Lonchura striata: one gene and its partners. The protein of the gene in region 3 purifies or fractionates together with the protein of the main gene of each other region. This does not show direct contact. Links are inferred from orthologs where the notes say so. Each region holds a gene or a part of one and is shown on either strand. Other genes may lie near its edges.

Region 1 (7,023 bases), on a different chromosome or scaffold from region 3:
AGAAAAATACATGATTTTTCAAACTGACAGAGAGTAGGCTTAGATTGATTTCTAGGAAAAAGTCCTTCCCTGTGAGGGGGTTGAGACCTGCCACAGGGTGCCCAGAGCAGCTGTGGCTGCCCCATCCCTGAAGTCTTCTATGTCAGGTTGGAAGGGGCTTGGAGCAACCTACTCTAATGGCAGGTGTCCCTGCCCATGGCTGGGGATGGAACTGGATGAGCTTTAAGATCCCTTTCAACCCCAACTGTTCTGTGATTTTTGAAGAAGGAAGAGCCCACACTGGAGGTGCAGGTTTAATGTCCCCAGGCAGCACACATGAGGGGCTGACACTGTGGGTTCTGCTGCCCTTGTTAAGCTCATTTCAGCACACACTTGAATTTAGATGTCTCTTCAGTGCACCATCCTACTGCACTGGGGACAGATCTGCCCACTCTGTCAGTGATGCTGTGACTGTGTCCTGCAAGTGGGACTGTGTTCTGCAAGTGTGGCTGTGCCCACTCCTGCAAGTGCTGCTCACATGGCAGAAAGAATAGACTTCTGCTTTACTGTTTTCTTCTGTTCCTGAGTTAAAAGTGGTTGGCACTAACCTGCCTTGCTCCATCTGTCAGAACAGGCAGCTGGCCTGGAGAATTGATCCAGATTAAAACTAACCATTGCAATCTTTTCCCCCCTCCAGGGTAATTTTAGCTTTTTTCAAATCCCTGCTCCAGATCCCAGTTTGGCTCCACATAAAATTGGGCAGAGGATGATTGAGTGTGGCAGGAGAGAGATGGCAGGATTGATCTCTCTCTGGTAGTGCCGGTTTGAAGCTCTCTAAAAACCTCAACAAGCAGCAGGGAAAGCATCACTGCCCTGGGGTAGCGGGATCGGCACCTCCTCCCAGCGCCTCCCCTGCCCAGCTGCAGGATGCAAAAGGGTTCCCTGCGCTGACGCCAGGCTGCTCTGTCCCCAGGCTGGAGTCCAGGATGTCGTCAGACATTCATATAATCCTGCAGCTCCTGCAGCGCCAGCTGTCCCAAGTGCCACCCGCGTACAGCCCCATCTCGCCGAGCTCCCACAGCCTGGCCATGTACGGCATCGTCCCGCGGAGCCTGGAGCCGCTCGGCCCCTGTGCGCCTCTGCAGGACCAGGAGATGCCGACCCAGGAGCAGGTAAGGTCAGCCCTGCTGGCTCAGCCCCCACCAGGCTCCTTCAGCCCCGAGTTCTCGCCAGGCAAGGCACAGCCAAACACTGATGGGTCCCGCCAAAGCCACGGCGTCTTGCCCTGGGAGCAGATCTGCCCAGTGCACCACTGGTTTTGGGGCACCGCTGCTATCCCCAACGCTGCCAGGCTGCCCATCAGTGGGGAAGGAAGGGGGTTTCTCTGCTCTGAGGCTTTCTCAAGTGAAAAATAACATTTTGGGGCTTGGAGCTGATGAGGCTCCAAGGTTGATGAGGAGAGAGTATGCCTACTTCGTTTTACTTTTACCATCACCCACACAATTCCTCATTTCCCACCAGAGCCCGAGCTACACGGAGGTAGAAAAGTTCCACTTGAAATCCAGGGACTCCTTGTCAAGCGGGATGCAGCTGTCGGTGTCATCCGACAAAACCATGACGGTCTACTCTGAGCAGGAGCACCCCTCGCCACCTCTCCTGAACCCAGAGCCTCCCCACCAAAGGGCACCAAGCGCCCAGGGACTCTTGAGGGGCTCTCGTTTCCCTTCCCTCCCTGAGCACTTGGAGGCATCTTCCGAGCACCAGGACATTCAGAGACACCTCTCCGACCCCGTGCTTCCTGGAAGTTAGAGACGTGGGGGCTGCAGGGCGAGTCAAGAGGAACCTCAGCTGCAGACCCGGTCAGTTGATGTTGGTTTTGACTGCAAGGGTAAAACATTGGACAATGCCATTGGCTCAGGGGTATAATTTGTAGCTATCTTCTGCCACCATGACAGGAAGTATAGAGTGGCTGGCTTCCAAGGCCAATGTTTTCCAGAGGTTCCCAATAGAGTAGATTTCATTTGCACATTAGAGTGAACCTAGAACAGCTCTTACAGCCACCATCGAGCTGGTTAGGCCACGTGGTTCCCACCACCTCCTCCTTGCCAAGGCTTCTTCTCGAGAAGGGCACAAGCCAAGCGAGCCACAGCAACCACAGGAGAGCCGATCCAGGGCTCTGGGCTGCGAGGCTGTGTTGGAATCCTTGGGAGCAGGGAACACTGTGTTGGTACAAGGCTCAGCCCAGCAGAGCCTGCAGGCACTACAGAAGGGTGGTCACCATAGGACTGTGAGATCTCCACGGTGTGGTCCAGGGGAAACTGCAGGTGGCAAGCCCAGGACAAGGACAGAGGACAGAAGTTTGTCCGACTTGATTGCCACTGAGAAGTGAAGGGCCAACATCCCCTGCCACCTCAGCCTGCTTCAGCACGAGTCCCAGAGCACTGACTTCTCCAGCAAGGCTGATCACACCTTGCAAACCCCAACACGCATCCCACAGCTCACCAGGTAACTCCAAGTCGCCACTGGCCTGGGCATAAAGCACAAAATTCAAAAGCACAATCCCAGGAAGCTGAGAAGCCCCAGACACCCCGTGTCCAGTCCTCCCTCCCAGCCTCCCTCTTTTGATAAAGGTTCAATAGGTGCTTCCTCCTGCCCACCCCTTCTCCCGGCAGACTCCGCAGCATTCCCGTAGGAGAAGCCCACGTAGCGCTGCCGCTCGCCACTCGGGTAGATGCTGTGATAGACCTAGACCGCCAGCTCCAGTATTGTATCGAGCTCCCTCTGAGAGTAGTCAAACTGTGAGCATCTCTTTCTCTGGAGTTTTAGTGTACACTTTGCTAATAAAGATGTTTTTGGCACCTAAGGTGAATTACAGCTGTGTTCGTTGGGAGCATCCATGAGTTCATCCCGGGCATCGTCACCCCAAAAAGGCTGTGGTCAAAGCCCGGTGACCTCATCCAAGGAGTGTGGGGCTATGCGCAGTCAGCTCAAGGGTGGAGCCTGCGGAGGCTTCGCCGAGCAATCCCTTCCCAAAAGGACATTTGGAAAACCTTTTCTGCGAGCCCAGGCAGCTGCATACGAGAAATGATCTCTCAACCACAACTCGGGCAGAGCCCAGAGCAGCGGTGCTTGCAGCGGGTAGCCCTGCCAGGAGCACGGCGCTGCCCAGAGCGGCCCCGCAGCGCGCCGAGCGGACACGGAGCTGCGGGGGCTGGAGCCGGGACCGCACATCCCCGACCCCGGCCGGCCGCACAGCCCGCGGCGGGTCCGGCCAGCCTCGCTGCGCCTCGAGCGGCGTGCCGGGCACAGCGAGCAGCTCCCTGGGCAGCCGGCTGCACCCCTTCTGCCAGTACGCGCCAGGGCTGCTCCCAAAAAAGCACCATAATGAACTGCTTGTTAATTAGAGATTAAGCGCGGGCCCGTCCGCCACTCGGCCGAGGCGGGGCTCGAACCCGCGACACACGAGAGCCTGAAGCGGCCCCACCCGCCTCGGGCTGGCGTGACTGACATCGCTTCCAGCCAATCGATCACCGCTAAGGGCCCAAGGTCCCGCCTCCAGTTAATGCGACCCCGGCCAGCCAACAAGATGTCGACAACGAGCGTGCCCGCCCCCCCCGGGCGGGGCCAAGCGCAGCCGTAGGTTACCCCAGCCGGAGTGCGCCCGTCCGTCTGGAGTGAAGGGCCAGACGGCCAATAGAAAGCCGAGGCGGGCTGAGCGCACAGGCAGATCGCCCAATAGGCAGCCGCCGCTCTGAGTGACAGTCGAGACGCCCAACCCGCGCGCAGTGGGCGGCGCTCCCCGCGTGGCTTCCGTTCCCGTTGTGTGAGGGGCCGCGTCCCGCACGGCCTCAGCAGCGCCGCCGCCGCTGCCGGGTCTGGGCCGGCACCGGGGCCGAGCCGTTCCCCGGGGCCGAGCCGCGCCTCCCCGCCGCCCCGAGGGCGAGCCGAGCCTTCCCCGCTCCCCGGCACCCCGGGGGCCGCGCCGTGCCCCGTCCGCTCCTGTCCCGGGGCCGCGCTGAGGCTCCCCCCGGCCCGCGCCGCCTCCCCGCTCCCTCCGGCCGGGTCCCTCCGCAGGCTGCCTGGGCCCGGCCCGCGGCCCCCCCGGCCCAGCCATGTCGCTGCACGGGAAGCGGAAGGAGATCTATAAATACGAGGCGCCCTGGACCGTGTACGCCATGAACTGGAGCGTCCGGCCCGACAAGCGGTTTCGCCTGGCGCTGGGCAGTTTCGTGGAGGAGTACAACAACAAGGTGGGCAGGGTGGGCACAGGGGCTGGGGCAGAACGAGGCTGGGGGAGCGGGGGCGCCTCACGGCCAGAGCGGTCAGGGACCCCCAATGCAGGCCTGGACCACGTCAGGCTGGTCTCTGCTAACCCGGGGTGAGGGACACAGGGAAGAGCCCTGGGGGCTGCTGGTTCTGGGATAACGCTGCTGCAGGCTTCTCGTGACCTCTGATCTTCGGAATTAACGATTGTGTTGGCTTCGATCACATAAGCACCGCGTGCTATGAGTTCTCTGTGATGTAAAGAGCTGGAAACTAAAGGTATGATATGGGTCTGGTTGCTGCTGCTATAGAAATAAAACAATTTCCCCTGGCTTGGGCATATCTGGTTGGGCATATCTGGCTTTTTGCTCAATTTGCACAAAGGAAAGTTTGTGGCCAGTACATATATATGCATATAGCTATAAAGAAGTTCCACCTCAATGTGATGAACTTCTTTCCATGGAGGGTGGCAGAGCAGTGGAACAGGTTGGTCAAGCAGCTTTTGGAGTCTCCCTTTCCTGTGACATTCCAAACCCACCTGGATGTATTCCTGTGTCACTTGATCCAGGTTACTCTGCCTAGAAAGGGGGATTGGACTGGAGAGTTCCCTTCCACTCCCTGTGATGTACAGGGTGTCTGAGACTGTGTTGGGAATGTGCTGTTCTCATGTACTTTCTTGCTGTGGAGGACTTGAGTGTGGTAACTTTTTTCATAACTATATAAACCCCTCTCAGTATTGATTCCTCAGTACTTTTCCCTGAGAACAAGGGTGTAATGAGGCATGAGATTGTATCTTCAGTGTTTCACTGCAAAGTGTGAGTGAAGAATGTCACACCAGTAACAGAGACCAGTTCATCGCTCAGAACACATGTGCAGTCACTTCTGAACACCTTCAAGGTGCTGGCCGGTATAATGAATTACTTAGAAATCAAAGAGAGATGAGAAGATGGATGAAGTTATAGAGCATCCTGAAATTCTTGTGAAACTGAAGGTTTGCCCACAGAGCTTGGTTTATATCATGTAGCTGTGTAGCCTTATCAAGGTGTTTAATGGAGATTGTGGAAAATACAGTCAGAAAGTTGTCTTGGGGACATGCCTCTGTAGAGGTTGTGCTGTACACAGCTGGCTCCTGGCACTGGAGCGCACCGACAGGCCCTGACCAGATGCTTCCCACATTTCCACATCCTCCCAAGCAGTGCCCCAGAGAGAGAGGGTTCAGGGCAGTTCTTCTGCAGGAAGGTCATTTGTTCTCTTAAGATCCTGCACTGCAAAGAAAAATTGATTGAATGCTGGAGATTAATTGGTGCAGTGGCATCTTTCTGATTGTAAAATAATCGTGAAATGTTATTTTAGGTAGTTATAAATTAGACTAAAGTTAAGGAGGTTTTCAAACTACTGTGGACTTACTTCACTGTTCCTCCAACCATATAAGAAAAAGAAGCCGTTACCAAATTCTGCATCATTTAGTTCCGTCTGATTCTTTTGTATCAAGTTAGAGATAGGTTTTTTTTAGAACTTAAGGGATGCTGATTAAAGGTGGTTCTTTACTCGCATGCACTGTTGCAAATATGCTTTATGTTGATAAGTGCTTGGATTATAATATGCTAAAATTAGGTATGGATTTTCCTATATTGAAGTGTTGGAGCGACAAATAAATATTTAGCATTCCTAGCTACTGGCATGGCAAAATCACAAAACTAGTTGAGGCTGAACACGCTGATCCTGGTTTTCTCTCTGGAAAGACTTATAGGGAGATGTAGAATGGTTCAAATTGTATCCAGACTGACAGTTACTTTCCCTTAGGCATTACCTCAGTCTTACCTGGGCTGGACCTCAGGCACTCCTTTGTGCAGCAGCATTCTTGCCTCATGTGCAGAAGGGAGAGAGAGAGGGCTCTGATGTAATTGGCATCCTAGAAATAATTCCATGTTCCATCCCCTCGTGTTCAGCCTGCACGAGAGGCTGAGTGGAGGGGTTCCGTGATGACTGTGTGTGATCAAGTCCCGAGAGAAGAGTCACAGCTCTGAACTTGCAGAGTTTCTCAAGCATTCCTGCTGCTCCCAGCAGGGCAGTGCCTGCCTCCCCCTCGCAGTCACTGCCAGCTGCTCCTGCTCTGGGCGCTGGGCAGGCCCCTGAGCTGCAGCAGCTCTGCTAGTGATAGTACAATTCCTGTTCTCCAGCCTGGCCTGCACCTACACATGGCAAAGATCAGAGCTACTGGATTGCTGAATTGCTTATCTTAAGGTCTGAGGAGGGGTTAAATGTGATTATGCAGTGCAGGAATATTTACATTAACACCAGTGAAAGGGAATCCTTTGCTCTTTGAGATTTGCTTCTGGAGAGGATGTTGATTGTTTTGTGTAGGATTATTACAATCATGTTGAGTGGCAAAAAAACATAAGCAAGGGAGAAATTATTAGAGGTCATTTGTCTTATGATCCTAACCTTGCCATAAAATCTTTTATCACCATGGACAATTTGCTTCCTTTGTAAAATCTGATGAATACTTCTGATCCCTAAAGGAGTTAGAAAGCTATTTGTCAATCACTTCAGAAGTCTGGGAGATTTTTGACTGATTTATACTAGGATATGAAGGATAGTAAGGAGTTGCTATAATAGAGAGGGCAAGACAGGCTGTGTTTCAGTTTTTGGAAGCATATTTGGCTGCATCTTTTTGTTATGAGATGGAAAGGATGGAGCTTCTCATTGTGGAGGGTGGGGCAAGGCTTTGCATTTAAGAGAATCTCTAAATGAGCTCATAAAACTGCAAATTAATTAGAT
Region 2 (7,671 bases), on a different chromosome or scaffold from region 3:
TTTTCATGTAAGGACACACATTAAAAAGAAAACAAACATAGAAGACTGAAAACACGTGGATCATCCTATATGATTACAACCTAAATTAAATCTTTCTTTAATGCAATGATGGAGAAAAGCACACTTCTTTGTTCACATAGTGAGAACACTTGTCACACTTGTTGAAATAGGTACAAAAGTATTTCTATTCTAATTTCTTTTTTTTTTTTTCACTAAAGAATTGGTATCCACAGTTCCTTCTTCAGAGGTGACAGAAATTGAGGTATTTTTTTTCAGATTCTATTTTACAATTAAGGATAGTTTATTAAGAAACAAAGCTTCAGGCCTTTTTAGAATCAGCTGAAAGAAACCCTCTAAAAAGGTGGTTTAATTGTAAGAAATGGAAACTGTCCTATATGGATCAGGAGAAAAAAAAATTCCAAACACAAACAAACTGGAACACAGAATGGGAAATCTCAAATAGAAAGGTCTTCATCTTTTTAAGAAAGGGTTAAGGGAAAATATGATTAGCCTCATTTTTCTGAAGTATCTTACAGGAATGGCAGATTCTTACCAAATACAAAAATCGGGTCACAAAGTTACAATAAAATCATGTAGCTAAATTAACTACAGAAGATGTTTTAACTATCTACAATTATAAACGGAACTCCTTTCAAACAGAGTATTTTGCCTCCACAGTTACTGTTCACTCTGCTAACTCCTCCAAGTTTGGACTTACAGATCACACAATGGAAATGTGCAAAATCATAGAACCCCTGTATCTCTGACTTTTGAAAAAGACTTCAGTAATTTCTGGATCCTTAAGCCAAAATTGTACAGAAAACACATAGTATCTCCACATAAGGCAGTAACCCTAGTGATTTCCTAAACCACTGATGGAATTAAAAGTTATGTCTGAGAAAAGGAGGCTGAGGGGAGACCATATTGCTCTCTACAACCACCTGAAAGGATACTGCAGCAAGAAGGGAGTTGGTCGCTTCTCTCAAGTAACAAGTGAGAGGAAGGACAAAAGGGTCTCCAGTTACACCAGGAGAGGTTCAGATTTGCTATCATGAAAAATTTCTTCACTGAAAGAGTTGTAAACCATTGGATTCTATGATCTTAAAGGTCTTTTTGAACCTAAATAATTCTATGAAATCGCTGTAGGTAAAGTCTGGACAACTTCCTCAATATATGCAAAGCATTAAACTTTCCAGTATATTAGAAATTAATCACAACTCCACATTACATCAAAACTCTTTAAGATTTGGTCTTTCTCATAAGTTAGTCACCAAAGGAAAAAAAATGCACATGAGAAGAAGAAATTAGAGGAAACTCTGTCCTTTATAATCTGAACAGAGGTAGAAAGTATTCATACTTACTGTAGCAAAAGTTAGAACAGGGAAAGAATGGGGTTCAAATACCAGCTCAGACTGGATGCTGTAGGACACCAACACTTAAACTAACAGTTGTATTCAGAATTGCATGAGAGTAAGAATTTATTACCAAGACTGGTCTGTCTGACACTAAAGCAGAGATCTGGTAATACTGGAATTCTATAAAACTTGACCACCCTCAAATGAGCTGTAACAGCATCTTCAGTGCTTCAGGCTTTTATCAAGGGGTACATAGTCTCAAACATTCCTGCATGCACACACATTCACTAGACAAAAACTTGGAGGATGTACTACCCCAACACAAGTCTGCCTATTACTTCAACATCTAACATCATCTGAACACTCATGTCTGAACATGATTCTTGGCATTCTTTCTCTTCAACTAGTAAATGCCTGTCATTTGCAGTAAATCTGGTAGGGAGAAAGAATCTGAGGAAATATTACCGATTTTCCCTGAGGGTCTAGATGCTTTTCTCACAAACAACTTCTTTTCTTGTTTCTCATTCCCTCGTTCTCCATAGTCCCGTTTCCTCTTCCCAGCTGATTTTGCTTCTTCTGGCCAATGCTGACATGCCCTCTCACGCTTCTTGTCCTTTGGCTGGTTTACTGGAGCCATTCTGCCTGACCACTGAAAGCAAGCAAAGCATGGAAGGTAAGACTGTCATACACTTCTAACCAGAGGACAGAGAGGAAAAGTGGAATGGAACATATCCCAGTTAGTCCGAACGTAGTGATTAGATGTGTATCCTCTTTCATTGGGATGACACTAGCTTTTTGTTGTTCTCTACTGAAGAGAGGAACAGGTTCAATAAAATCTTCTTTGTTCACATATGAAAATGAATGTATCCTAGAGCACTAGAATATGTTTTGACAGATGTGCCTCTACTAGACTTTTAAGCCTGAAACCCACAGATCTGCATAAAGTACATCTGTGAAACCACATAATCCCCTAACTGTTTCTCTGGTAGCTCACACTGAGCTCTTTAGATTCAGCTAAGCAAAAGGTCAGAATTTTTATGATGATGGCCAGGGCTGACTGGCCTTGCAACAAATGGGCTCAGAAGGTACTTCCTGCATAGTGGCCACTTTTCCTCACAACCACCACCTGGTATTTGGATTCAGCTCGTGCACAGCCTGGCAGCCACACCGGAACTGCTCTTCTAACGGCGGTGAGATTCAGCGACTCGTGTCCCGGGTTATGCCGGCCACAACGCCACCAGGCCCCTGAGGAAAAGCACAGGCCTTCCACGGCCTTCTCTGCAGCCAGCGGGCCGTGCGCCAAAGGCCCTCCGCAGCCGCAGCACCTTCCCGCACAGCATCCCTGGGCTGAGCCTGCGCTCACGTTGAGCTCGTTTAGAATTCCTGAATGGCCATCACGGATATCTGTTAAATCCAGCTCGGCGGGCACCGCGCAGGCTCTTGCGCAGGCAGCTGCCGCTTCCGGCACCTCCGGGCACGGCGGGGCCTCCCCTCAGCCCCCGGCGCGGCCCGCGGCCCTCGCGGCCCGGGCGGAAAGCCCCCCCGCTCTCACCTGCGCTCCCGCGGCCTCGGCTCTCCCGGCGCCGCCGCGGCCGGCGGCCGGCACTGGCCCCTCCCCCGCGGTTTCATAACCGGGGCGGGAACGGGGGGCAGCGGCTTCGGCCCGGCCCCCGGAGCGGCACCGATTTCGCCGGCCATGGCGGCCCCCGCCAGCCTTCCCCGCTGAGGGGCAGCGCCATCGACAGGGGTAGGCCGGGGAGGGCTCGGCGTGCTTGTCTAGCCCTAGCCCGCCTCCCCCCCCTACCCCTGCCGGCCTCCCGGCCATCCGCATGAGCAGCGCCTCCGGCCCCCCGGCAGCGACAGGCGGCTGCGAGGGCCGAGCCGGCCTGAAACGCGCGGTCCGTCTGTCTGCCTCTTGTTTATTTGGTGCAGCACGTAAAATCATATGCCCCTCATTAGTTTGTAGAGCACCAAATTGGCCTATTAAAGCCCCAAACACGGCAATCAAAACAAATCAAAACATCATTTCCACAAGAAAACTCACCTGGTGTTGGAACACAACAACAACAGCATCAACACCATCAACAACAAAAGGTGCTTCAAAAGCTGATAACAAAGTCTTGTCGAGAGCAGCTCAGAGAGTACTAGATCCTACATGGTGCAGCTGACAAGAATGGGGAAGGAAGAGCTCTACCAACAGAAAGGGAAGTACCAGCACTTCGCACCTGCAAAGGAGGCTGCTGTCTGCCGGCCGTGGGGAACCTTATCCCTCATCTCTGAAGCAGTGAAGTCCCTGGCTTCAGGCCTAACAGTAACTATGCTGAGTAATTAAGGTACAGTCATCCACACAGGAGGCTATGAACACAGGTTCTGAAATAGCTGTACATAGCCATGCCTTCTGTAGGGTTTGGTTTCACGTGCTACTATTTTTTGCGCTATAACTACAGTTACCTATGGATTTTCTCACATACTAGAAAAGGCACAGAAAAATTCCCCAGAAAAACAACAAACAGTCTCTATGCTCTTTCCCTGAACAGTAACAAAGTTTTATTACTTGCTGTATCAGAATGCCATACACAAAAATGATAATCACTAATACAATCTGGTTTTGGACATATACACCAAACCAATTAGCAAGTCTTAGAGTCTCAACAGGCACTTTTATAATATACAGCTTTTGTCTTAGAACTGTACCCATTAGCAAAAACCAGTGTAACCTACGCATTTCCATCTTGGAGCTATCACAGCATTTTTTAGAAATGAAATAGACTAGAAAAGAGTAGAAAAGGCTATTGCCTGTGGAAGGCACCTACAATGAACATCTAGTCCAACTGCCTGACCAGTTCAGGGCTGACCTAGTCAAAGCCTGGTATTAAGGGCATTGTCCAAATGCCTTTAAAAATTGACAGCTTGGTGCATTCACCACCTCTCTCTAGGAAGATTGTTCCGGTGTTTCACTACCCTCTCTGTAAAGAAATGCTTCCTATTGTCCAGTCTAAGCCTACCCTTTTACAGCTTCAGACCACTCCTATGCATCCTATTACTGGATCCCAGGAGTAGAGATCAGATCTCCCACTACACTTACCCTTCTCAGGAAGCTGTAGGGAGCCATGAGGTCTTCCCTCAGCATGCTTTTCTCCAACCTAGGCAAGCCAGACTCTGGACTCCGGACCAATCGAGGACTTCAACACCACTCTCAAATGTTGAGTCTCAGAACTGCACAAAGTACTCAAGATGAGGTCACATGCTAAATAGAGTGTTTGTGTCAATGACTAACACCAAGTTTGATTTCTCTCTGGAGAATCACGAGATATTTTTGTAATAATTATCCACTAAGGGTAAGAACAACAGACAGTACACAGTTCATGCACAGAAAAATGCCACTGGCCTGATGTCCCACAGCTCAGTGTCTGGATGGTACTCTGAGCAAGAGAAAGACTAATTTGAAAAAATATTCTTTGACGTATTTACAGTGTCTTAGAATTGCAGTATGCAACAAAGAGGAATAGAATTCTGCATGGGCAGGATATTAGGTTTATTTTATTCTGCCAGTTCTCTGATGTACAATTATGCTGAGGTTCTGCCTCAGTTATGGGACATGGTTCTCTCCAACAGAATCACGTTGTCTTATCACTGGATCCGGTGAAGCTATATTGAAACTAAGATCAGTTTCATGGTAGTAATAATACCATTAGGTGTTCTGCCTCCTTGTTTCCAGGACCTTTGTCCAAAGCATGAATAATTTTGCCACCTTAGCTAAATATACAGTTATATACAAATGTATAAATCATATACAAATATATAAATTATATATACTGATGTATATATCATTAGAGCAACTAGAGTTTGCCATGCATATGAAAACAAGCCTATATTCCATGAAAAAGTAAAACAAAATATAAAACCCAAGAGATGAAGGAGTAAATATCATGCTATTTGACCTCCTTCTCTTCCATGGCCATTGTTAAGCTGCCCATACCACGAAAATGAACAAAAAGATCACTATCATTATGGGCTTATTTACGAAAGCACCCTATCTCCCCCAAGCCATTCCAGCCTTGGAGGACAGGATCGCAACAGCCATGCTATTTAATACTCTCACCTTGCAATCAGTATTGGTGGTGGCCAAGTCCCACATGGGCAGTATCTGTCTTAGACATGCTATCTTAGATGCACATGAGATAGCAATCTAGAAATCAGCATGCAAACATAACACCGGGCAAACACTGGATATAGACTATTAATGGATGACAGGAGCTTGCCTTTTCTGACCTTCATTAATGTACATTACTTTGATAACAGAAATCAAAAATGCAGAACTTAATTGAATTAGGGAGTATCTGTGCCAAAGAATAGGGTTCAGTTTTGTTTTAGTAAAAGACAAAGTTGCTTATACTCTCAGCTGTGATTAACTTCAAGGACAAGACAAGCATATTTTTTCACTTTTTACAAGTGACACCCATAGGCAATGACCTGTCATGGGTGTCTACCTTCCAGAGACCCTATGCTGGTAAAGGTGAACAGAGGATTGGTCTCAGAAGAAATTAAGTGGAATGGTTTCTAATGTCCACTTTCTAACACAAAATTTCACTGTATATGAAGGGCATCAGCACAGTTATTTTCTGGTTCTTATGAAATCTAGGGCACTTGGAAAGAAAGGCAAAACACCTAAGTACTGCTGCAGAGAAATGGAAGATTTATGGCATGCTCTTTCCTTTCTTTCTTCTGCAAGGCTCTCAGTCTTTCCTTTTTCCACCAATTGAATAAACATCACTACAAACCCACAGTTGGTCCTTGGAATTATGTCCCAAGTCACTTGGAAGCAGTGACTTCAAGAGAAGGCGGGCCAGCAAGGCCTGGTAGCGCTCCGCCAGCAAGCCCTGGCCCAGGGGATATTGCACTCAGGGATTTAAAAGATGACGTCCAAATTATTCAGATAGACGTTTTCAGAGAAATGGAAGAGTGACTGAAAGCAGTTTGCAAGATCGGGCTGAACGAGAAAGACGGATGCCAAGGTGAACTGATGCCACCCTCTAAGCCCAGGGAGAGTGACCCATGCCACTCTCACACGAGAGACCACAGCACTTCACTTGGGTGGAAATCAGCCTTGGGGAACCTCCTGCTCCAACAGCAGGGGGGCTCCAAGCCCTGCACGTCAGCTGGCCGGTACAGCACACAGATGAACGAACTCACGGACAGGAGCCGAACTCGGGGCTGGGCCGAGTGGGCAGCTCCTCCCAGAGCTGTCTCCCTCCCGACCCCGCCACGAGGGGGATCCCAGCCAGGCCGATTTCCCTCAGTCCCCTCCGCATCCCACAGCTGCAGCCCTTCCCAACGTGGAGGTAGGGGAGAACGACAACGGGAGCCGGCGCTGCCCTCCCGGCACCTCTGCCGACCCCACCTGCCTGGGCAGAGCCCGCTCCCGTTAATTGGATCAAGGGCCGGGCGGCGGGGGCGGGAGGCGGGAGCTGTGCTGGAGCGGCTCCGTCGCTGCCATCGGAGCAGCCCGAGCGCGGGCCCGCCCCGCGGGAGCCGCTGGAGGCGGGGCGGGACCCCCGAGTCCCGCGGCTGAAGTAGGGGGAGGGCTCAGCCGGCCCCTCCCCGAGGTGGCCGCTGCCCGCTGAGCGTCCCGCCGCGCCGCCTGCGAGGTAAGCGGCGGGCTCGCTGCTGTGGGCTTCGCTCCGCGGGCCCGCCGCCTTTTCGGACCTGTGCCCTGCGGGGTGCTGGGGGTCCTGGCGGCGGAGCCCGTCCCGGTCCCGGCGCCGCCTTCCCGCGGCGAGCAGCGTGTCTCGGGACGCGCTGGCAACTGCGAGGGAAAAGTTTCCTCATGGAAAGGGGGCGGGTGGGGGAGGCGGTACCCGGCTGGGCGCTGGCTGTGGGCAGGAGGGGACTGGGAGGCGGCTCGGCGCGGTTCGTCTGGAGGCGCAGCGGAGACCCCCGGTAGGTGCGGGAGCGGCGGCGTGCGGTGCTGGGAAGGGCGGCGGGGCTGTGGTCCCGGCGGGTTGGTCGCGAGGGGCTGGGGAAGCTCTTGCCGGAGTTTCACTGCCTTCGCGTCCCTAAGCTTCGCCGGGTGCCCCGCCGCCGGCCTCCTGGGGCCGGCCCGCTGCCACCGCCCCGTCACTGGGGGCTGCCGAGGCGTTCCCTCCCTCCCTCCCTCCGGAGCCCGCGCCTCCGCTCCGCCGCGGGGACAGGGGCCTCTTTGTGCCGGATCCGCGCAGAGCCGCTTCCCACTCTGAAACCGGAGCCGCGGGCGCTGGCAGCGCTGTGCAGAGTGGGGATAAAGCGGCTTCCCAGGACCCCCCGGGAAAGGGGCCGC
Region 3 (7,388 bases):
CCACTTTGCCTTGCACTTTGATCAGCTCAAAATCAACATCTTTACGTTCCATGTCTGCTACTGTCAGTACAGCATTCACCGCAATCTCTGCCATTTGCCTGTGACAGCGGTTCACTCTAGGTTTGAAGAAAATACAGTCATGTTGTACTCCATTTCCACCATTTGGAAGAAAAAGGTGATTCCATCAATAGATGTTAAACAGCAAGAAGTACCACTACAGCAATCAACTTCTGCACACAATATTAAAAGAGGGGCTCCTGCTTGTTTGTTCACAGAAACAGAGGGTGCTGGCTATGTCAGAAAACCGAACACACAGCGTGGTTGGTGTGAGGAACCTTTGCCAATGGAGTCTCAATAGAGATTTGGAAAAAGTCAGGAGAACTAAATGACTAAAAAACATTCAAGAAACAGAAACCATGTGTAAAACAACTCTGCAAGGAAAGCCCTTCCAGTGTCTAAATTTATGAACTACACAGAGAACCCATAAAGGAAAATGAACTTTTGGAACCATCTTAAGTGAATTTTTTTTAGTGGAAAAAAAACCCCTAAGATGACATGTTGTTATTTTTAACAGATTCAGATTACTTTTGGAACCCGCTATGATGCAGAAACCTGGAACTAACAGGTTAGAATGAAAATGATGCTGCAGCTATTTAATTTCATGGAAATGACCCTTTGGAGATGAAGGAGTCACAATTTCTTATCCGGGGACAGGAGTCCATGGAGGAATTAGCTAAACCAAAACACAGAAGAGCCTTCAGCAGCACTCCAATAACACAAACACCAGGATTTCTCCTTTCCATGCAGAGGGTTTTCAATGGAAGGGTAAATATTCATTCAATATTCAGGTTTTATGACTTACACTTTAGAGCCCAGAGTTGTCTTTGCTGTCTGGATCAGAGGCTCAATGTTCTGTGGATCAACTGGGAAGCTGTCACTGATTTTGTCTAGATGCTCAATAGCAATGCGTGCTGCCTGCTCATAACCATCTGCTATTCTGATGGGGTGAATGCCTCGGTCTAGCAACTGCTCAGCCTGTTCCAGTAATGCCCCAGCCAGAACTATAAAAAAAAAAAAAAAAAAGTTTTATTCTTGATTGGAGCATAATTTTAAGTATATTAACAACCGATTAAAAACCATATTTTCTGTTTTTTCTGCAGTATTTTAAGAGTTCAAGGTTTCCTAAATAACAAAAAAACCACAAAAACCTCTACTTGCTCTGCTTAGCAAGAGAACCACATTATGTTAAGACCAAAATGAAGCACAGGCATCAAGGCAAGACAAGGAGACTACATAAGAAAAATATGCAAAACAATTCTTTGAAAGTATCAAAGGGGCTCTCAGCACTACCTTAAAATGGAACCAGACTTCAAAAAAATACAAAAGATTCTTCCCGATTAGAAGACTTCTCATACAAGAACTGACAGGAATACTGCAACAATAAATACTCCAAAGAAGTGCTACAGAAAAGCTACTGCTATTTCTCACAATTTTTTAAAATAGCTGAAGCAACTTGATTTTAAACTTGAAAAGGGAAGCTAAATTTAAAACGCTCTCTTACCAACGACTCCAGTAGTTCCATCCCCAATCTCATCATCTTGAGATTTAGCCAGCTCCACCATAAGTTTGGCTATCTGGTGATCCACATCCATCATATTCAGGATTGTAGCACCATCATTTGTCACAGTCACCTCACCATCCTTGTCCACCATCATTTTATCCAAGCCTAAAAAACATATGTTCAAAGGATTAAGGAAAATTTTGAAAATTCCCCCACAACAATTATTAAAAGAGAAATACTAAAAGTTTTTCATTGTTACCATTGGGCCCAAGGGACGTTCTCAGAGTACTTGCTACAGCCTTTGCTGCCATTATGTGAGACTGTAAAACACAGCATAACAAAGACAGAAGTTAAATCATTACCACGCATTCCAGGAAAACACAGCAAGTAGTGCAAATGTTGTAATTTAACTGACAACAACTATTGCTTGTATTGCTTGTGCTGGCTCTGCTAAAGCACGCAAAAGCAGAGCACCCAAATGACAGCCCTAACGCTCAAAGCAGGGAGCAACAGAGGCCGGCAACGCTAAAAAGAGAAGGCAGTGCAATTTTACCCATCATAGAATCATCACAGAATGGTTTTGCTTGGAAGGGACTTTGAAGACCATCCAGGTCCCACCGCCTGTCAGAGGCAGAACACCTTCCACTAGACCAGATTGCTCAGTGCCCCATACAACCTTCCCCTGAACACTTCCAGGAATGGGGCATCCACCACCTCTCTCTTCCAGTGTCCACTCCCTTCTTCCGTCGGGATTTAGACCACCCGCACTCAGCCCCAGCCTTTCTTCGACAGCCGAGCTTCAGGAGGCGGTCTAAGGGAGGGGGCGTGGGGGGCTGGGCAGGAGCACGGGAGGGCCGCGGTGCCCCACGGGGTGCCGGCCCCACGGCCCGCAGCTCGGGGGCGGACCCACGCCGTGCCGCGGGTCCCCAGCCCCGGGGCGATGCTTTCTCTCTTCCTCCACCCCTCCCCCGCTTACGGGCCCAGTCCAGGCTCCATCCGCCCTGCGCCTCGGGCGGGGCTGGCGCCGAGCGCGGCAGCGCCTCGCCCCAGGGGCTCCATCCTCCCGCTGCTCGCAGCAGCACGGCACGGCACGGTATGGTACGGTACGGCACGGCACGGCACGGTATGGTACGGTACGGCACGGCACGGCACGGTATGGTACGGTACACCACAGCATGGCACAGCATGGCACAGCATGGCGCGGCGCGGCGCGGCCTAACCAGCGCGGGCCCGCGGGCGGCCCCGGCAGCCGCCCCGCTCGCTCACCTTGAGCGCCTCCAAGCCCATGAGGCGCGTCTTGCGCTCTTGGTCCTTCAGGATGAGGAAGGGCCGCCCATACTCGTCAAACGCCAGAGTCCCCATGGCCGACATGGCTGCTCCGCCAGCTCCGACCGCCGCCGCCCGCGCGCGCGCACTTCCCAGGAGCCGCCGCGCCCGCCGCGCGCCGCCCCGCGCCTGCGCGAACGCTGCGCCTCGCCGAATGCCGCGGGCGGGAGCTTTGGGGCGCCGCCAGCCGAGCCTTCTGGAAGCCGCCGGCGCCGGGGGAGGAGCGCGGCTCGCGGGCGGGGAGGGAAGGGGGGAGGATGTGCCGAGTGGGGCGGAGTACGGGCGCCGGGTGACGTGAGGGCGGAGGAGGGAAGGCAGACGGACGGTGGAAAAGCGTGCGCGGCGCTTCTCTCCGGGGTGCCTTCGGAAAGGTTTCGGCCCCGCACCCCTTCGCAGTGAAGTGGTGCTGCCCTTCCCGGTAGCGGTGCGGGCCGGGCGTGAGGCTGGGGTGTTCGCTGTCGAGGCGGGGTGTGGCTGTGTCCTAGGGAAGCGTTGCCCCGCACGGGAGGAGCAGTGACTCCGGCGCTGTCCCGGCGGCAGGACGGTCCCTGCCTGCCCGCCCTGGAGCTGTCCGGGGCGATCCCTGCCTGCCCGCCCGCCTGTGGGGGCCCGGCGTTTAAATGGGAACCGCGTTCCTGCCCTCTCGTGCCTCAGCTTTTCAGACGCTGTAGCGTTTCCTTGGGGTTGGCTGAAGTGTAGGGTGGTTTTTTCCATCTCTTTACGCGGTAGCTCTTCGCTACAAGACGCTGATTTGTCTGAAATGAGCGAACACGCTGTCTGTCCGTCCGCAGGAGGGATGTCCCGGGCGCTGGCGAAGGAGGTCCCGCAGGAGGAGGGCGAGGGCGGCTCCCGCAGGAGCAGCTGGGGGCTGCTGGCCGCGGCCGGTCTGGGAGGGACCCTGGTGGCCCTCTATGCTGTAGCCACCCCCTTCGTGACCCCGGCCCTGAGGAAGGTGTGCCTGCCCTTCGTTCCTGCCACCGCCGCTCAGATCCAGAACGTGCTGAAGATGTTGGAAAACAGAAGTGGCTCCCTAGTTGACATTGGTAGCGGAGATGGCCGTATTGTAAGTTATGGATGTTGCCTCTTAAAAAAATGCCGAAGTGCTGGAGCTGCGTTTTCTCACACTTAAAAATGTCTTGTCTTTGGCAGCCACTGGTTGTCTCTGAGTCTCACGGAAAGTATCAAATCTGAGAAAGGTTTACATTCAGTTTTGATGAGTAATAAATAGTTTTGCTGCAGTCTTACCTGTAGCTTGACAAAGGTAGTGGACAAAATGTCATCGTGTCGACTGGAGGGAATCACAGTGCATTCATTTGACAAGAAGCTATCAGAGTCTTGGTGCTGATTGACAAAGAGCTGTGATTCCACAAAGGTGTGTAGCTGCAGCAAGTGAAGCTGTGAGATGTTTAATGTATAAAGGTGATAGAAGTGTAAAAAGAAATGGGCAATGAGCGATGGATTATAAAAATAAAAATCCTGATATCGTTAGAACTGTAGTCTTCAAACTTTTGTGGACTGCTGGCTTCCCCACTTCCAAATCCATGTGGTGAAACTAGAATAAACACCAAGAGAAATTGTGAGAATCATGAAAGAAAAAGTGATTCTGCGTTTCCAGGGTATTGCTTGAGCCCCAGTTTGTGAAATATGATGAGGATATAGTGGCAAATTGTGTTTTAGTTTTTCTTTTGTTGCTATGACATTTTGTGTCATTTGTAACTAACTTGTGTCATGTGTGTCATTTGCTGGACATTTTGTTTTTTTGTAACTATCTGCTTCAAGTCAGATTTGCCAGCAGGGTGGTAATTTTTGATGCAAACACATGAGTTCTTGAATGCTACCTTTGTCCATGTTTTATGTGAATGAGTCAACTGTTTGTCCACCTAAGAAAAAAATTGATTTGGAACCCCATGTCTGTGAAGATTGCTTGAATTGTGCCTGGGTATGAAAAAGACCAAAAAACTTAGGCATGAGATAACTGAAGTTTCTGATGCCTTTCTGGCTGCTGACTCTGATCAGAGGTATTTAATTTTAATAGGCACTGTGTCATTGATTCTGATATGTAGGTGCCCAAATGGAAACTGAAGACTATTTGGAAAGCCAGGTGAATGCTTGGTGCTTCCTTGATGCATCTTTCCTGACAAAGCCTGTTCAAATGCTTTTAATTATTTAGCACTTACTCAGGTGGATAAATATGAAGATATTTACCACACTTCCAAGTCTGGTAAAAATGTCAGATTCTTTTGGTGAATTTTCAAGTGCTCTGTGTGTGATGGAAGATTAATTATTTTGACAGTGTGAAATACATGGTCTAGGTAAAGCTGTTTGAGAAGTTCTGTTAAGAAATGTGTGCTTTCTGAATTCACCTTGCTTGTTTTGTAATTGATAGTTCATCAGGTGATTGCTGATTAGAAGTTTGCTCTAGTCTTTTAAATTATGTCTTAAACCTTTATTCTAGAAATCAGTGCATTTTTTGATTTTTTTTTCAGTGTAGATTAAGATTGCTTTCACACTCTTTCTATTAGTATGTCATTTTAGCTCTGATGGAGGAGCTGCTCAAGTGCCTATCCCTCACTGCTTTTCAAATAAGTGGTCTAATTTTGAGTGTTTTTGCTTGTGAGTTTCACTGTTCTCTCTGTGATCAATGTTGGTTCTCTCTAATTCCAAGACACTGTAATGAATGTGTTAAATTAAACTTTTATATGGATCATAGATGTATTGCAAGCTCACAGCTTTGCTCTGTGAATATTTGTTTTCATTTTGTTTGCCTAACTATATTTCAGTTGGACTAGTAATAATAGCAAAAAGTAGTTTTGAGTTTTTGTTCACTATACAGCTGATGTGTTGGGCATTAAACCCAGGGTGACTTAGGAAAGTGCTTTCCTTTGATTTATATTTTAAATGAAACTGTGAGCTTCTCTTTAGGTGAATTGATTTTTATGTTTCAAAGTGAAGATTTATTTTCTTCCTTGAAGGTGATAGCAGCTGCAAAAAAGGGATTCCAGGCTGTTGGTTATGAATTGAATCCCTGGCTAGTCTGGTACTCCAGATATCGTGCCTGGAGAGATGGAGTACATCAGAACACCAAATTTCATATTTCAGACTTATGGAAGGTGGGTGGTGAATTATATAAGAATGGATCTGGGATGATTGAGAGATTTATAAGTTTGGAAATACTTTCCTGAAAAAGCTGAAATGCTGTCTGACTTCAAGATGCTGTACTGGACTTTGAGCAAAGTACTTGTGCTGGGAATCTGGTTTCTTTGGGCTCAGTATGCTGTTCTGCTGCTTTTGTGCTTTATTCAAGTGCTTCCTTTATCAGTAGCAGTTCCTTGAGCAATCCTGCACCTGATGAATTATGTGGGAGGGGTTTTTTTTGGGCTGTGGAGGTTTGTGTTCAGAGAGAAACATAAGAAAACTTCACGGCACTGAGTGGAAGAACTTTATCATTACAATGCCTAGGAAATTTTTATAGCCAGCTGACATTTAAAAGAAGAAGGGGCAAACTTAAAGCATACATGATTTTATCATATACAAGAGTTGTGAAAATAACCCTTTTGTTATTAGTAAAGTCATGTAGGTATTTTCTAAATGAATGCTTTCTGTGCTTCTAGAATTGCTATTCCATATTCTTGGCCAGACAGTAGAAGTTTTTTGCTGTTTGGCAGTATAAAGTTTTCTTTATGTGGAAATTCTTGTGATGAAAAGTTGGTAAGGGATCTCCTTACATATTTTTGATTTAAATCCCTGTTGAAAGAAGTGCAGCTAGAGGAATTAGGAGAAAAGGATGATGAAAGTTTCTCTAAGTGCCATTTTCAGTAAGTTTTGTTCTCAATTTTTATTTTAGGTTTCTTTTTCCCATTATAGAAATGTTGTTGTTTTTGGAGTACCTCAAATGGTAAGCTTGCTATTTTTTTTTCTTTATTACTGTATTTTATTTATTATACTGTTAAATTATTGTTACAATGTTTATTTATTTTAATGCCAAGGCATTCAGTGTTAATACATTAATCTGCAAAATGAATCAAGCTACAGATAGTCAAAGGTAGTCAGTAATAATTGTAGAATATTAAGGGTTGGAAGGGACCTTAAACATCAAGTCCCAACCCCCCTGTGCATGGGATACCTCCCACTAGACCAGGTTGCTCAAGGCCTTATCCAGCCTGGCTTTGAGCGCTGCCAGGGTTGGGACATCCAGTTCCTGGGCAACCTGTTCCAGTATCTTACCACTCTCACAGTAAAGAATTTCTTCCTAATGTTTAACCTAAATTTCCCCTTTCAGTTTTTTTTTTTTCCATTCTCCATTGTCCTATCCTGATGAAGCAACCCTCTCCAGCTTCATCAGGAGATTTCTCCCTGTAGGCTCCCTTCTGACACTGGAAGGTTGCTATGAGGTCTGCATGCAACCTTCTCTTCTCTAGTTCCAGCTCCTCTGCCATGAGCAGGGACACTTGACTAGACCAGGTTCCTCAGAGCTCCATCCAACCTTATTTGAACAATTCCA
Region 4 (6,939 bases), on a different chromosome or scaffold from region 3:
TTGCCCTTAGGTGTTGGGACTTCAGTGATCCTTGTGGGTCCCTTCCAACTCAGGATATTCTATGGTTCTATTCTAGGATTCTAAAAAGTCCCTCCCCAGCTCTTTTTTCAGTCCCTTTGCCCCTGAGCCTTCTCCACTCCAGGCTAGCTACCCCAGCTTTCTCAACCTGTCATTATTACTCCTACTGGATTGTTAGGAAGTGCTATGTGCTTTAGACATACACATGAAAAGAATATGATGGAAAAGGCCTCTGAGCTGAAGGCTGCCTAGACTAGCACCCAACTACCTGCACAAGCTTTCAAGCTTTGCAGCTGCAGCACAGCCATGCACATTCACCTAGCAGACTCCCTTTGCACTGTGCTTCAGTTTCTAAACATTTACTTCCATAAAAATACAGAGCTCATAAGAAGAACAAAGCTTTAATGTGCTGGAAGAATCCATGTGTTCAGGAATGCATTTGTTTGATACCATTAACAGCTGATCATCCTGCACAGCTGAAGCTTTGGTATCCCCACAGACCCGGAAAATGACACATTGCTTTACAGGCTTATAAATATTGATGCTGGTCATTTCTTTGAGAAAGCTTCCCCCAGGAGCCATTCCAAGGCTTGTTCTGCTGCTGCCTGAGTTGGCTGGTCACTCACCCAGAGATTTCTGAAGGATGGCAAACTGCTCCTCTTCCTTTGCCCGTTCCTGTTCCTCCAGGTTTTCCTTTGGAGGAAGGATACCTTTCTTGCGCAGAATGTCATTCCACTCCGTGTCTTTATTTGGATCCTAGAACAGGACAACACATGGGTATTTCTTCAAGGTGAACTTTACAGAAGTTCGGAATTTAACACAGCTGCTAAACTGGTAACTGGACGGATGGTGCCAGAAAATCACAGTGCAAATCCTCCTGACCTTGAGGCTTCTTTCCAGCCCCAGACCTGCAGCACCCTGAAGACTGACTTTGTTTTATTCCATCACACTCACAGCACATAGAGGAGGTCTTGGCTGGGTACCAAAGTTTGAAGCATTGTAACCACTGCTGCATCTCTCACAAAGTGCAATGAAAGGAGAGGGTATTAGCTGGGTGACACAGAAGCATGCTAGCCAGAGAGCTTCCTTATAGACTCTCAGCAGGACAGGCCACCAAACCAATGGTCACTGCATCAGGAAGCACTAGTGACAAGACACACACAGGGACAAACCTTACAGACCTAGCTCTCAGTACATGGGAAGTCTCCTTGCTATATTCAAGTCAGAGTGACTATGTAAGTGCTTAGAGAAAAGCAAGCCATCTCTGTCAGCCAAGACCATTGCTAAGGATTCAGATCTAAGTCTATAGCTAGACTATTCCTGAGATTTTTCTGTAAAATAGTTGCAATAATCCTGCAAAACAAGGTCAACACACCCCTATGTATTGTTGAAAAGCTGAGTAGCTGAGTATATGCTTTTCCTATTTAGCAGGCAATTTTATTTTTTTAAATACAAGAAATCTCGGTGATAAACACCCACAGGTTGATTGTGCTTCCTTGCTATCTTGGCCTAGGAACTTTAGAAACTGAGCATACATACTGCTTTGCTATAGCCCGCTTCAGTACACCTTACAGCAGGTCTGTTCACAGCCATATAACCCTATACCTTCGACTAAGCCCCAGTACTTACGGACTATCGGGGACAGGAAGGGAGGGGTAGGGGGCAGAAGGGGAGAAGAAACATAAGAAAATAAAGAAAAAGAACAACGTAGCTCAGCAAACACAACACTAGATATCTTCACCCCCTTCTCTGACGGCGGTCACCTTTCCCTCGACCCCGCATTTACTATCATTTATTATCACACTGATGCAGTGCCTGAAACGCCGACCGCTCACTACAGTAGTGCAATGAGTACCGTAGCTGCAAAAAAAGCAACACACTGCCACAAACCCAGCCACGGAGCTCCCGAACAACACCGCCGGGAACAGCCCCGAACAACACCCAGCTCTGCCCCGAGGGCGGCTCGGCCCTCGGCCGCCGGGGGGCTCGGCTCTCACACGGCCGGGAGCGGGGCTCGGCTCTGGGCCGCCGGGGGGCTCGGCTCTCACACGGCCGGGAGCGGGGCTCGGCTCTGGGCCGCCGGCGGGGCTCGGCTCTCACACGGCCGGGAGCGGGGCTCGGCTCTGGGCCGCCGGCGGGGCTCGGCTCTCACACGGCCGGGAGCGGGGCTCGGCTCTGGGCCGCCGGCGGGGCTCGGCCCGCGGCCGCCGGGGGGCTCGGCTCTCACACGGCCGGGAGCGGGGCTCGGCTCTGGGCCGCCGGGGGGCTCGGCTCTCGGCCGCCGGGGGGCTCGGCTCTCACACGGCCGGGAGCGGGGCTCGGCTCTGGGCCGCCGGCGGGGCTCGGCCCTCGGCCGCCGGGGGGCTCGGCTCTCACACGGCCGGGAGCGGGGCTCGGCTCTCGGCCGCCGGGGGGCTCGGCTCTCACACGGCCGGGAGCGGGGCTCGGCCCGCGGCCGCCGGGGGGCTCGGCTCTGGGCCGCCGGCGGGGCTCGGCTCTGGGCCGCCGGCGGGGCTCGGCTCTGGGCCGCCGGCGGGGCTCGGCTCTGGGCCGCCGGCGGGGCTCGGCTCTGGGCCGCCGGCGGGGCTCGGCTCTGGGCCGCCGGCGGGGCTCGGCTCTCGGCCGCCGGCGGGGCTCGGCTCTGGGCCGCCGGAGGGGCTCGGCTCTGGGCCGCCGGCGGGGCTCGGCTCTGGGCCGCCGGAGGGGCTCGGCTCTGGGCCGCCGGCGGGGCTCGGCCCTCGGCCGCCGGCGGGGCTCGGCCCTCGGCCGCCGGCGGGGCTCGGCCCTCGGCCGCCGGCGGGGCTCGGCTCTGGGCCGCCGGCGGGGCTCGGCCCGCACACGGCCGGGCGCGGGCCGCGGGGCACGGCGGCTGCTCACCTGCATGGTGCCGGCGGGGCCAGGCCGAGCCGGGCCGGGCAGGGCCGGGCCGGGCAGGGCCGGGGCAGCGGCGCCGGGCCGGGCCGGGCAGGGCCGGGGCAGGGGCGCCGGGCAGGGCCGGGCAGGGCCGGTCCCGGCGTGCGCGGCGCGGCCGGAGGAGGCGGCGCTGCCGGCGGGGCGGGCCCGGCGCCGCCGCTGCCCGCGCCGCCTAATAAGGATGGGCCCGGCGGTGGGAAGGGTGACGGAGTAGTTTGGGTTGAACGGCGTGTGAAGATCGTAAATCGCCCTGCCGCGGGGATTCACGCCTTCCCGTAAACCAGGTTGCTGCAAGCCCCGTCCAGCCTGACACAGAGTAACCACGCTTGAGCAGGGACGTTGGGCAGGCGACTCCCTGTGGTCCCTTCCAGTCTCTCTCTGCGATTCCCTGTAACTTTTGTTTCCACTGACCCTTTTTTAGCTGTTTGTATTTCATACCCTCTTTTATTTCCCCACTTGTTAATCTTCGTTTTTTCTTTCCCTAATCTGCTAATAAAATAAAATAAGCAATCAAGCCTGTATTATCTATTCTTATTAGGCACAATCAGCTTTAATACTTGTAGTATTATTAGGATTGGATCATAGCCAACTGGTATTACCAGAAATTTGTCTCTTGATAGTTACTTTTATTTCAGTTTTGAGTCTATGTTAAAGTGTCACTCAGAAAACACTGAAAAGAGTGTTGCATGTGGTGACCCAAATCCGTTTGGGATCCCACCCTATTCCATACTGTTATAAATGAAGTTCTATATGTCTAATTTAATAAACAACAAAATTGAATTTAGCAGCAATTTTAATTGAACTCAAATTTTTTAGAAATTAATACAATCAAGTATGCTCAATATAATCAAGCATATACAAAAAAAAAATTGGGAGTGACTAATTAAGTATGATTAAGGTTCATATAAAGCATAAGCAAAACCAACTGGGGTACAGGGAGGGCTTCTCACCCTGTCTCACGTATGAAACAAAGGAATCCAAACTAAACTTATGTACTGTATGCCAATACATATTCATCAATATTTTTCTGTAAATCTCCTCCTATTTTTGATTCTTGAAATCTATGTCACTACACTGCATGGTGCTCCTCTTGTTGTTAGGGGGTCTCCTGGCTTTTTGGTGGTCTTTTCAGAGGAAGGCTTGCTGTCTTCCTCACTGTCCTCTGAATAACCTTACAGGTTGCACGCATGCACTAAGCTTTGTGCTATATAAGTAAGCATTATATTCCAAATCAGTCGTATTATTTCATAGATAAAACCACAACTTAGATTCCATATCTGGGATCATCCCAACTTTGCTCATCCCAAGGCTGATTCTGCTTTGGGAATCATCCCAACTTTGTTCATCCCAAGGCCAATTCTGTTTTGGGATCTTGCTTATCTCAATACTACATCCTGTATCCTGTTTTTCACACCTAACATCCATGAAGGGGCCCATCTGCTTTTCCTCTATTACTTTATAACAATTATTGATATAGTTACAATTTAGTTAGCATGAATCATATCCCTTTATCACAATACAAACAGGCACCTAGACCTGCCCTTTTGAAGAACTGAGCAGATCTTTTCAGCTTTCTTTTCCAAGAGACATAGCAGAGGGAAGAGACCTGCTCCTGCCTCCCTTCCCCTCCTTTTATGCTCTAGCCCAATGGACAGCATGCTTACCCAGATCTCAGTCCCCATGAAAGAGCCCTAAAGAACCTGCCAGCAGGTCTTAAGAGTGTGTTTAAGCATGTGGAGCAAGGACTGTCTCGGCTCTGGCAAGGGCCTGAAATGAAAATTTAGAAGCCCCACTTCCACATGTATAAGATTGTGGGCATCCCATTAACAGCCAGTTATTCTGGAGTGGGCTGGCCACTTTCTCTGAGCTAAGTCTGGGTTGCTGAAGGGAAGGCACAGGCACCTTTTCTGTCTCTGAATTAGAAGAAATGGACAGCTGTGCTTTGAGAGGACATCAGTCCTTATGGTGAGCATTTGGACGTGCAGAGGGTACCCCATACTGGCTGTTCAATGCCCTGAGGTGGCAGGAAACTCAACCTCACTCAGCTTAGACTAAATGCTCATCCGTGTAAGAAAAGTGGGTGGGTGCCACAAATGCAGATGCTGTGAAGCTGTGACCCACATCTGGTGTCTGACAGGCAGAACCAAAGGCTGAACTGTTCATGACAGTTTTGTTGTCTGAGTGTTTTGCCAGAGCCTGGCTTCTGGGAGTACCCTCTGGTTTAAATAGTCATCTTCTGTGGCTGAAATACCATTCACACCCAAGGCTCTTGTATGTTGCTGGTTGGAAACTCCTTTGAATGCCAGAAAACAAACACAAAAAGAGCATGAGCAAGAAGTGAGCACTCATTTCTTTAAAGGCTGCTCAAAAATATTCCTTTACCTGAGGTGAGGTTTTTGCTCAGGCGAAAGAAGAGGAACTAGCCAAGCACCCTCAGCACCAGAACCACAATAAACTCCGAGCCTCATCTGGGACAGACTTACCAGAAAAGGGAGCAGCCCCATCACATCATTTGGTGGGGCTCAGACACAATGTGAACCAAGCATGACTCTACTCAGGACACATCTAAAGCAAAACACAGTTTTCTCTTCCCACCCAACTAAAAATATATTTACAAAGCCCATTTTTCCTATGTACTTTCTAAAGCAAGCTTCAGCAGAAAAAAAGAAAGGCTATTTTTACACATAGCACGCAGACAGAAATACTCCAGCTAGAGTAAGTGAGAACTGGCAGTGTCATAGTGAGGCTGAAATGTAGCTATGGTTCAGCCCTTGCAGACAGCCTGCCTTCTTCCCCCTCACCCCAGCCAATTTGCTTCTGAGCAGCTGTAATGTATTTCTTCTTTTTGCCCCAAATCAGGGATTAGGTGAAGGAAGATGAAGCATGTGTGTAAATGACTCATTAATTATCCAGGTGATGCAGTGATGAGAACAAAAAGTTAGTAATAAAAAGGTTCTGAGCCTGGGGTTGAGGTGTTATGTGGCTTGTTTGTGCTTGAGTGTAGATTGTAGTAAGGTACAGACTAGGACAAAATAAGAATTTTTGAAGGTAATGTGATGTACTTTTAATTTATGATGCATTGGGGAAGATTTGGGGTTGTGGACTTCATGTTATTTTGTAAGATAGCTGCCTGTATTACACAGTATGACTGTACTGTGAATAATTTAGAAAAAGTATTGTCTGGTAATAGGGATAAGGAGTTATAAGGAAGGACTTTGTTTGCTTGGATTTTATTAGGAGCTGGGTTTTTTAACTTTTACTATTTTTTCACATTCTTTTCAAAGCTCATTCTGATTTTTCTTAAATAATTAAATCTCTTAGTAAAACCCCTACATGTTAATGTAGTGATGGGTGTTTTTGTATGTTGTAGCCAGGTGTACTGGAAGTTAACCAGCCCCATTTACTTATAGACTAGAAATGTTATAAATAAGTAGTTTTGCTACTCCAGTTGCAAGAATGTCCTAGCTGGGCTGAATTTCCTTTGTCATGAGGTGGTAATTTCTGTTCTTCCGTCTGCATAGTGCTGTCCAAATAAGTTTATCCTTTTCTTGGTACAGAAGACCTCCAGTAGTATTCTCAAATAAGCCAGAGAATACCATTTAGGGAATTAATTTAAAGCCATATGAAATGTGTGAAAAAGTCCTGAAGTATTTTGGATATAACAAGATGTAGGCTGCAAGAATTTTTCCATTTTTAGATTTGAAATGGAGGGAAGTTGTTACTCGATAGTAGAAGTTGTAATGCAGATTGCTCTTGAAGGAAGAGACAGGCCTCAAGTTAGCTTTGAGGTAACAGTTGTGGTGTTTAAAAAAAATCTTGCTGAAGAAAACCCACTGTGCCTCAACCCTAAATACATTCCAAGTAGCAGGGGAAGCTTGTCTTCTTTTGAGCCCTTCATATCTAACTTCAATAACCCTTGACAGGTTTTGCAATGAGATCCTTCTCCAAAAAGGCAGGCTGTAAAAGGGCAATAACTGTTAAAATTTTAGCTCTGCTGTTGATGAACTG

The links. The genes of interacting proteins can lie anywhere in the genome.
Region 1: the proteins of CCT5 (region 3) and DCAF7 purify together in Homo sapiens (affinity purification with mass spectrometry; 4 studies listed by BioGRID and IntAct, counting the BioPlex papers as one, with this or other methods). This does not show direct contact. The link is inferred for Lonchura striata from reciprocal best matches to the Homo sapiens genes CCT5 and DCAF7.
Region 2: the proteins of CCT5 (region 3) and DDB2 purify together in Homo sapiens (co-immunoprecipitation; 3 studies listed by BioGRID and IntAct, with this or other methods). This does not show direct contact. The link is inferred for Lonchura striata from reciprocal best matches to the Homo sapiens genes CCT5 and DDB2.
Region 4: the proteins of CCT5 (region 3) and PDCL3 purify together in Homo sapiens (co-immunoprecipitation; 3 studies listed by BioGRID and IntAct, with this or other methods). This does not show direct contact. The link is inferred for Lonchura striata from reciprocal best matches to the Homo sapiens genes CCT5 and PDCL3.

What each region holds. Positions count from the first base shown.
Region 1 is NC_134627.1:9,009,011-9,016,033, reverse strand, and holds the start of DCAF7 (DDB1- and CUL4-associated factor 7), read left to right. Parts: upstream 1-4,003; 5' UTR 4,004-4,091; coding exon 4,092-4,229; intron 4,230-7,023. Other genes in the region: voltage-gated inwardly rectifying potassium channel KCNH6, read left to right, coding at 953-1,151, 1,501-1,788. UniProt on the Homo sapiens protein: Involved in craniofacial development. Acts upstream of the EDN1 pathway and is required for formation of the upper jaw equivalent, the palatoquadrate. The activity required for EDN1 pathway function differs between the first and second arches.
Region 2 is NC_134608.1:39,083,263-39,090,933, reverse strand, and holds the start of DDB2 (DNA damage-binding protein 2), read right to left. Parts: upstream 3,021-7,671; 5' UTR 2,908-3,020; intron 2,005-2,907; 5' UTR 1,993-2,004; coding exon 1,821-1,992; intron 1-1,820.
Region 3 is NC_134603.1:71,666,411-71,673,798, reverse strand, and holds the start of CCT5 (T-complex protein 1 subunit epsilon), read right to left. Parts: upstream 3,005-7,388; 5' UTR 2,933-3,004; coding exon 2,828-2,932; intron 1,882-2,827; coding exon 1,821-1,881; intron 1,727-1,820; coding exon 1,562-1,726; intron 1,062-1,561; coding exon 863-1,061; intron 117-862; coding exon 1-116. Other genes in the region: ATPSCKMT (ATP synthase subunit C lysine N-methyltransferase), read left to right, coding at 3,684-3,950, 5,860-5,997, 6,732-6,782. UniProt on the Homo sapiens protein: Component of the chaperonin-containing T-complex (TRiC), a molecular chaperone complex that assists the folding of actin, tubulin and other proteins upon ATP hydrolysis.
Region 4 is NC_134604.1:87,175,673-87,182,611, reverse strand, and holds the start of PDCL3 (phosducin-like protein 3), read right to left. Parts: upstream 3,021-6,939; 5' UTR 2,971-3,020; intron 2,969-2,970; exon of another isoform or gene 2,917-2,968; 5' UTR 2,902-2,916; coding exon 2,896-2,901; intron 775-2,895; coding exon 645-774; intron 1-644. UniProt on the Homo sapiens protein: Acts as a chaperone for the angiogenic VEGF receptor KDR/VEGFR2, increasing its abundance by inhibiting its ubiquitination and degradation.